Linked DNA regions of Macaca fascicularis. The protein of the gene in region 1 interacts with the protein of each later gene in a pairwise test. Links are inferred from orthologs where the notes say so. Each region holds a gene or a part of one and is shown on either strand. Other genes may lie near its edges. The genes, in order: RAPGEF4 and BMERB1.

Region 1 (3,819 bases):
AGGCAAAAGGCAATGTTACTTCCGTTTCAAACTTTTTCAATCTGTGTGTTCTAAAATTATAAATTATCCAAAAGAAACATACACCCTCTCTCCTTTCTATTCATATCATTTCACAGCCAGAGGGGCAAGGCAGGGAGGGAAAATGGACCGTGAGCATCCCTCCAAGCTGAGGAATGAAGTATTTTGAAAATGTGAGGAATGGCGGTAGCTTGGGGTCATACATTGACTCATGGCCTCTACTCATTGAGTACAGGACCATTTTGCAGATGAACTAAAGTGGTGGTGAAGCTGGCACTGCCATGGTTCTCACCTTCTGCTGCAGAGCAGAGTTCTGCTCCTAAGCAGAGCAGGCACACCTGCAGCTGCAGGGTCAGGACAGCTCCCAGAAGGGCAGCAGAGAGTCCTGAGTTGGTGGCACAAACTCAGCATAAATTCGCTACAGTGCTGAAGACCATGCAGCATCTTACCACCAACCATAACCACGGATGAGTAGCACCTAGCAAATAAACAATACATGCCAAAATAATGTGAGAATGAACACTGAAGTTCCTCTGAAAAAAAAAGAAGTAAAAAAAGTGCTCTTTTGTGGACTCCAAAATGACCCATTTCAAAACACTGGCTTTCATATAAATATCATACAAATAATTCACCTGCAATTTATTTTGAATTGAAGTTTTATTGTTGTAAAATAGATATCTAATATAAATTTTCCCATTGTAACCATTTTTAAGGGTATAGTTCAGTGGCGTTCATTTCATTTCTGATGCCCGTGCAGTCATTGATTGCCACTATCTATTTCTAAGACTTCTTCTCATGGCCAATTTTGAACTTAGACATGGTGTAACATTTTCTTCTTTGTTCTTCCTCCAGTCCATGAAGCCATGGTCTGGAGATGCTGGTGAAGCAGATGACATAGGGACACACCTTTATTGCTCTTGACAGAATCATGTGCCTTTTGCAGTTCTTGTTAAAAGCCTGTGACTTTTGCCAATTACAGGAGTTTTATGTATCTGTATCAGATGACGCCCGGATGATTGCTGCCCTCAAGGAGCAACTGCCGGAGTTGGAGAAGATTGTCAAGCAAATGTAAGGAGGGGCTTGGCTTTGGGGGTGTGCTTTCATCAAGTAAGTCCCAAAACATCCTTTGCCCACAGGAAAAGTTAAAGCTGGTCTTTCCATAGCCATGCCCTGCTTGATTTGATTTAAGCAGACTGGACCAAGGGCATAGGTGGTGCAGTAAGGCCAGAGGAACAGAAGGACTGAGATTCTGTTCATTCTGTGCTAGAAGGCTGCCAAAAGAAAGCCTGGGAAAGAAAAGATCCTCCTGTGTGGAGTCCAACTCAATAAATGTGGGTCCCTTAGGTTCAAGGCAGTGAATCTGGCAATAACGTGGCCAGCGGCATTTAAAGAAAGTTTGAGGGCAATTACTTATATGGAAAATTCACTGTCTGCTGCCAAAGCTGTTGATGGTGAATATTTGTGTCCTCTCAATGAACCACAAGGTCTTCACATGCTATTACTTGAGCTATAGATTAAATGCAGTATCAGAGAGTGAGTGTGCTGCTAGATAAGACTTTGAAAGCTAGAAATCCTGGCTTTGAACATCGGTTCTGCCAGGAATCTGCCTCTGACAAGAGCTGATATCTTTGCTGTCTACCCTTCTGCTTTGATCTATTACTATTAAAATGAGGAAGTTCATATTGCCTCCTGAAAGGATTCTGTGATTGTGATTTCATTTTCTAACATAAGATTAGTTATATGCAAATAAGGCAATTTAATAGTAGCAATGGTATTAAATAATGTGCTTTCTCTACTTCTCGTAGCTCAGAAGATGCAAAGGCACCACAAAAGAAGGTAAATGGCATGAACTTGAACTCTCTGTCTGTGCCCTGTAGAATTACAATTCCCCAGAAATATTATATTGCAGTATACATAAAAGTGATTTCTTTTTTGTAGACACAAAATATATTGTCTTAATTTCTTGACTCTGCTTGCTTCTCAGATGTGTCTCCTCTGAGTTGCTAGTGTGCATTGGTCACTCTCCCTTATGGCACTTGCTGTGGTTGTTTTTACAGCACAAGGTTCTTTTGCAACAGTTCAATACAGGTGATGAGAGAGCCCAGAAGCGCCAGCCTATCCGTGGCTCTGATGAAGGTGAGAACCCTCTTTCAACTAACTCATAGTTGTATAGATTATTTAGAGTCAGGATAATGGTAAGCATCACCTTGGACCCACAGAATAACTTCTTTTGGAGGTGCCCTGTTGCCCTCCAGATGGTTTGCTTGGAGGTGCCTTTTGGTGGCCTGATGATTTATGTCCTTAAACTCTTCTTGTGCCTGGAGCCGAGGTGCCTGTCTACCCTTCCCTGATTCAGCCTCTCCCTGCTTAACCCCTTTCCTGGGAAGAAATGAAGATGATCTCAGGGTCTGGTTGTCAGGATTGCCCACCCCTGGGAAAAGCTGGTGGGAAGGTAGCCGGCGCCTAGTGGGTGCCTAGGAGACAGTGGATCACCAGCATCCTGCCCAGGGACAATGCTCTGGCCCTGAGCACAGCCCTGAGCATGGAGGCTTTACATCAGGAAGATAAAGATGCTGGCTTTTGTTTGGTTGTTTAAGATTCTCCAAAGAATCACAACCAAAAATAGTCACAAATAATAATGATAAAAATTTCATTTAAAGCTATAAATGAATCTCGTCATTTAGGACTGCCTCTAAACCCAAGAATTACAATACAATAATGGGAATTGCTCCCAGGATTTTTGTGTTCAGAGCTGAGACTCGGGGTGCCATATCCACATCTGCTGATCTAAGTCTGCTGAGCTAAATAGCATCCAAGCTTACGTGGCCTGGCCCCAAAGCACACAAGCCACTGAAGCAAGTGAACAGGAGTATCAGCATGTGCTGATGGCCCAGGCGGAAGCCCTCCTGTGTGCAGAGGTGTGAATGGTGGCTCCCCACCACCACACAGGGTAGCAGTGATCTGTAAATTGCCTACAGTGTAGTACTTCAGACCCTGAACATCAGCCTGAAGACACTCTCCATTTTTTCCCATGACCTATTTGTGGGGTTTCACCAATATCTCTTGTTCTTTTAATTGGACTTGGCAACCATATGTGCACCTATTCTTAGACCAATGCTAAAGTAAGCAGTTTAGAAGGGGCAGGCATGGGGTAAATGAGTATGAATAAATATAGTAATAAAAATGGCAAAATGATGCAAATTGGAGAGGATGCCTAAACATTTTTCATAACTACAGTTTTATTGAAAACTCTTAAGACTGATTTACTACCTTGTTACTGCCTTTGCATAGTTCTGTTTAAGGTCTATTGCATGGACCACACCTACACAACCATTCGGGTGCCAGTGGCCGCCTCGGTGAAGGAAGTCATCAGCGCCGTTGCCGACAAGCTGGGCTCTGGGGAGGGCCTGATCATAGTCAAGATGAGTTCTGGAGGAGGTAACAGCCTTAATTCGCATTTTGGGCTCTGCAAAACAGGACTTTCCATCCAAGCAGAAACTATGTAAGAAGTTAGTGTGGTCATGTGAGGCTCACCCGGAGGATGAACTGGTGCTTATGTATGCTTCCACTAATAACAGAAACAGTATGGGTAGAGGCAGGCTGGGTTTCTAATGTGCCCTATCTTGTAGGTACCCACTCTAAACCAGAAAGGTGACTGGAACTGAGGACTCTTGTGTAGATGCTGGCCTGGAGTTCTTTCAGTTTAAACTCTATTCAAAAAAGTTTTAGGCCTTGGAGCCCTGAGAAATATGGACCCTAAGAGGAAATCTAGCTGGACAAGCTCAAGGCCATGGGTTTCTA
Region 2 (3,819 bases), on another chromosome or scaffold:
TTAACATTTTAACTGCTAACATTTTAGTGTACTTTTTCAGACTTTAAAAAAGTGTGTCTGGCCAGGCGCGATGGCTCATGCCTGTAATCCTAGCACTTTGGGAGGCTGAGGTGGGCGGATCACAAGGCCAGGAGTTAAGAGATCAGCCTGGCCAACATGATGAAACCCCATCTCAACTAAAAATACAAAAATTAGCCGGGTGTGGTGGTACACACCTGTTATCCCGGCTACTCAGGAGGCTGAGGTAGGAGAATCACTCGAACCTGGGAGGTGAAGGTTGCACTGAGTCAAGATTGTGCCACTGTACTCCAGCCTGGGCGACAGGGTGAGACTCCGTTTCAAAAAGAAAAAAATAAAGTGTGTCTGTGTATAGTATACATATTATATATATACAACCATATATATTCACATATATACATATATATATGTATATGTATGTATGTTCACGCTTGTAATCCCAGCACTTCAGGAGGCCAAGTTGGGGGGATCGCCTGAGGCCAGGAGTTTCAGACCAGCCTGGGCAACAGAGTGTGACACCCCATCTCTACAAAAAGTAAAAATTAAAAAATTACCAAGATGGGCCTGTAGTCCCAGCTACTCGGGAGGCTGAGGCAGGAGAATGGTGTGAATTCAGGAGGCGGAGCTTGCAGTGAGCTGAGATTGCTCCACTGCACTCCAGCCTGGGCGACAGAGCGAGCCTCCGTCTCAAAACAAAAAAGCAAACAAACGAAGTTCCTGTGGAAAACACGTTTTCTGGTTTCCAAAGGGCGTGCTCACGAATACACATTTGCGGCACAGGCTGAAGTCTGTGTGCCCTCAAGGCGTATGACAGTCGCGGAGCAAGGCTGTGCCCTGAAACCATGTCAGGGTGGGTCCCACGGTGCAGCCTCGGGGTCCTGATGCTTGCGTTTCGTGTCTCCTGCACAGATCAGCTGGACATCATCTCCATGGCGGAGACAACCATGATGCCGGAGGAGATTGAGCTGGAGATGGCAAAAATTCAGCGTCTCCGGGAAGTCTTGGTCCGCCGGGAGTCTGAGCTCAGGTTCATGTGAGTGTTTTGGGGATGTGGCCGAGGAAAGACGAGTGTGGAGGAGAGAGGAAAACCTAATCTTTATTGATTGCCTACTGTGTGCCGAGCCCTGAGATAAAGGCATTATGCACGTTTTTAAAAGCCTCATTTGATTCTCGCCACCACCCAGGGAAGTGGCTATTGTCATCTCCTGTTTTAAGCAAGACCCTGAAGTTGGAACTGAATTCAGGCCAATCTGACTCCAAAACCTTTGCTCCATCACCCACGGGGAAGACAGACCCTATGCTGGGGTCTTTGACGAGCACACACTCTGCTCTCAGGCCTGAGTTTTGTTTTTTTTCTTTTTTTTAAGCCTGTCAGCTTGGGCAGGTTACTTGTACTCTCTGAATTTCAGTTCCCTCATTTCTAAAATGGGGGAAAATAACAAGATGGGGTCTCTAGCAACATCAAAGTCATGTGGGTTGAGCGTTCATTAGCTACAGAGTAGGGCATTCCTGAAGAGTTGCAGATAGTCTTTCAAGACAAACTCATTTAAAAAGTGGGCTCTGAGTGTGTGGTGGTGCGCACCTGTGGTCCCAGCTGCTCAGGAGGCTGAGGTGGGAGGACTGTTTGAGTCCTGGAGTTCAAGGCTGCAGTGAGCTATGATTGCATCACCACACTCCAGTTTGGGTGACAGAGGGAGACCCTGTCTCTAAAAAGTACAAATTAAGGCCAGGCACAGTGGCTCACACCTGTAATCACAGCACCTTGGAAGGCTGAGGCGGGATGATCGCTTGAGCCCAGGAGTTCAAGACCAGACAGGGCAATGTAGCCAGACCCTGTCTCTATAAAAAATAAAATTAGCTGTGTGTGGCTGGCGTGTGGTTGTGTGTGCCTTTGTCCCAGCTACTCAGGAGGCCGAGGTGGGGGGATCGGTTGAGCCCAGGGGCTCAAGGCTGCAGTGAGCTATGATCATACCATTGCACTCCAACCTGGGAGACACAGCAAGACCCTGTCACTAAAAGAAAAAATTTAAAAATACAAAAAATATAAAAATCCATCAAATTAAAATGAAAAAATTGGGCTTTTGCAGACAAACAGTGAGAGGTTACAAGCAAAACCAAACCAAACCAGAGGTTAAGAGGCAACCTGGCTGGAAAATTCCCTGTGCTGCCTGTCAGCACCCCACCCACGCTCCACTGGAGGCAGCAGGAACATCAAACCTTCTAGGCAGGCATTAAGCCCCGCCCCTATTCTTTCACTGATTTTTCACAGCACCAAGAGGCTGAGTCTGTGATCATCCCATTTTGCAGATGAGGAGACTGAGGCTTGAAGAAATCAAACAACCTGCTCAAGGCCTCCCAGCTAGTAAATGGGGAGTTAGGGTTCAGACCCAGCTCTTTCTGCCTTTAAAACACGTATTCTTTATAAATTTTTAGTTACTTATTTAGAGAGAGGCTCTTGGTCTGTCGCCCAGGGTGGAATGCAGTGAGGCCATCGTAGCTCATTACAGCCTCGAACTTCTGAAAGCCCATCCTCTCACTAGGACATTATATGACCTTCCCTCTCCCTGCATAAAATGAATTGCAATATTCACAGCTGTCATTTATCCAGCCCTTTGCATGTGCCCGACCCTGAGCTAAATGCTTCCCATGCATAATTCCTTCTCAGAGACATCTCTGAGGAAGGTTCTAGAACATTTGCACTTTATGGCTAAGAAGTATCTTCCCTTTTGTCTGGAAATAAAAATGATACGTGAGCATTCAGAAACAATCCCTTCCTCCCTGTGTTTTAAAAGGAAGACAGAGGCCAGGTGTGGTGGCTTACATCTATAATCCTAGCACTTTGAGAGGCTGAGGCAGGTAGACCACTTGAGGCCAGGAGTTCGAGACCAGCCTGGCCAACAGGGCAAAACCCCATCTCTAGTGAAAATACAAAAAATTTAGCCACGTGTGGTGGCGTGCGCCTATAATCCCAGCTACTTGGGAGGCTGAGGCACAAGAATCGTTTGAAACTGGGAGGCGGAGGCTACAGCAAGCTGAGATTGTACTACTTCACTGCAGCCTGGGCAACAGAGTGAGAAACTATCTCAAAATAATAATAATAAAATAAAGTAAAAGGAAGACAGAGAACATGAGTCTTGCTTTTAAGTACTCAAGATCCCTTTGTTTAAAAAAAAATACAAAAATACAAAAAATTTAAAAATACAAATAGGAATTAAAAATTTTTAAAATATGTATTTATTTTTATTTACCTAATGGTGCTGCTGCAGGAACAATGGTTACCCCTGTACATTTACTGACCTTTACTGTGTGCACGTGTGTGTGTGGGTGGGTGGATGTGCATGTGTGGATGTGTGTGTGGATATTTGTGTGGATGTGTGGATGTGTGTGTGGATGTTTGTGTGTGGGTGTCTGGATGTGTGTATGTGTGTGTGTGGGTGTGGGTGTGGATCTGTGCGCGTGTGTGTGTGAGGATATGTGTGTGCATGTGTGTGTGTGGATGTGTGGGTGTGTGGATGTGTGCATGCGTGTTTGTGGACGTGTGTGTGGGGATATGTGTGTGCGTGTGTGAATGTGTGTGTGGGTGTGGATGCGTGCGTGTGTGGATGTGTGGATGTGTGTGTGAATGTGTGGATATGTGGATGTGTGGATGTGTGGATATGTGTGTGGATTTGTGGATGTGTGTGTGTGTGTGTGTATGGATGTGCACATGCCTGTCACTTAGCACGGGCTTAAGGACAAGAATAACTAGCATTTTTTAAGTGGCAGCTCTGCAGTAAGCTCTTGACTTGTGATCTCACTGAA

Evidence for each region.
Region 2: the proteins of RAPGEF4 (region 1) and BMERB1 interact in binary tests that used the Homo sapiens proteins (3 or more experiments, as listed by UniProt). The link is inferred for Macaca fascicularis from reciprocal best matches to the Homo sapiens genes RAPGEF4 and BMERB1.

What each region holds. Positions count from the first base shown.
Region 1 is NC_088386.1:68,548,034-68,551,852, forward strand, and holds part of RAPGEF4 (rap guanine nucleotide exchange factor 4), read left to right. Parts: intron 1-997; coding exon 998-1,086; intron 1,087-1,823; coding exon 1,824-1,854; intron 1,855-2,075; coding exon 2,076-2,154; intron 2,155-3,309; coding exon 3,310-3,456; intron 3,457-3,819.
Region 2 is NC_088394.1:15,810,305-15,814,123, forward strand, and holds part of BMERB1 (bMERB domain-containing protein 1), read left to right. Parts: intron 1-927; coding exon 928-1,051; intron 1,052-3,819.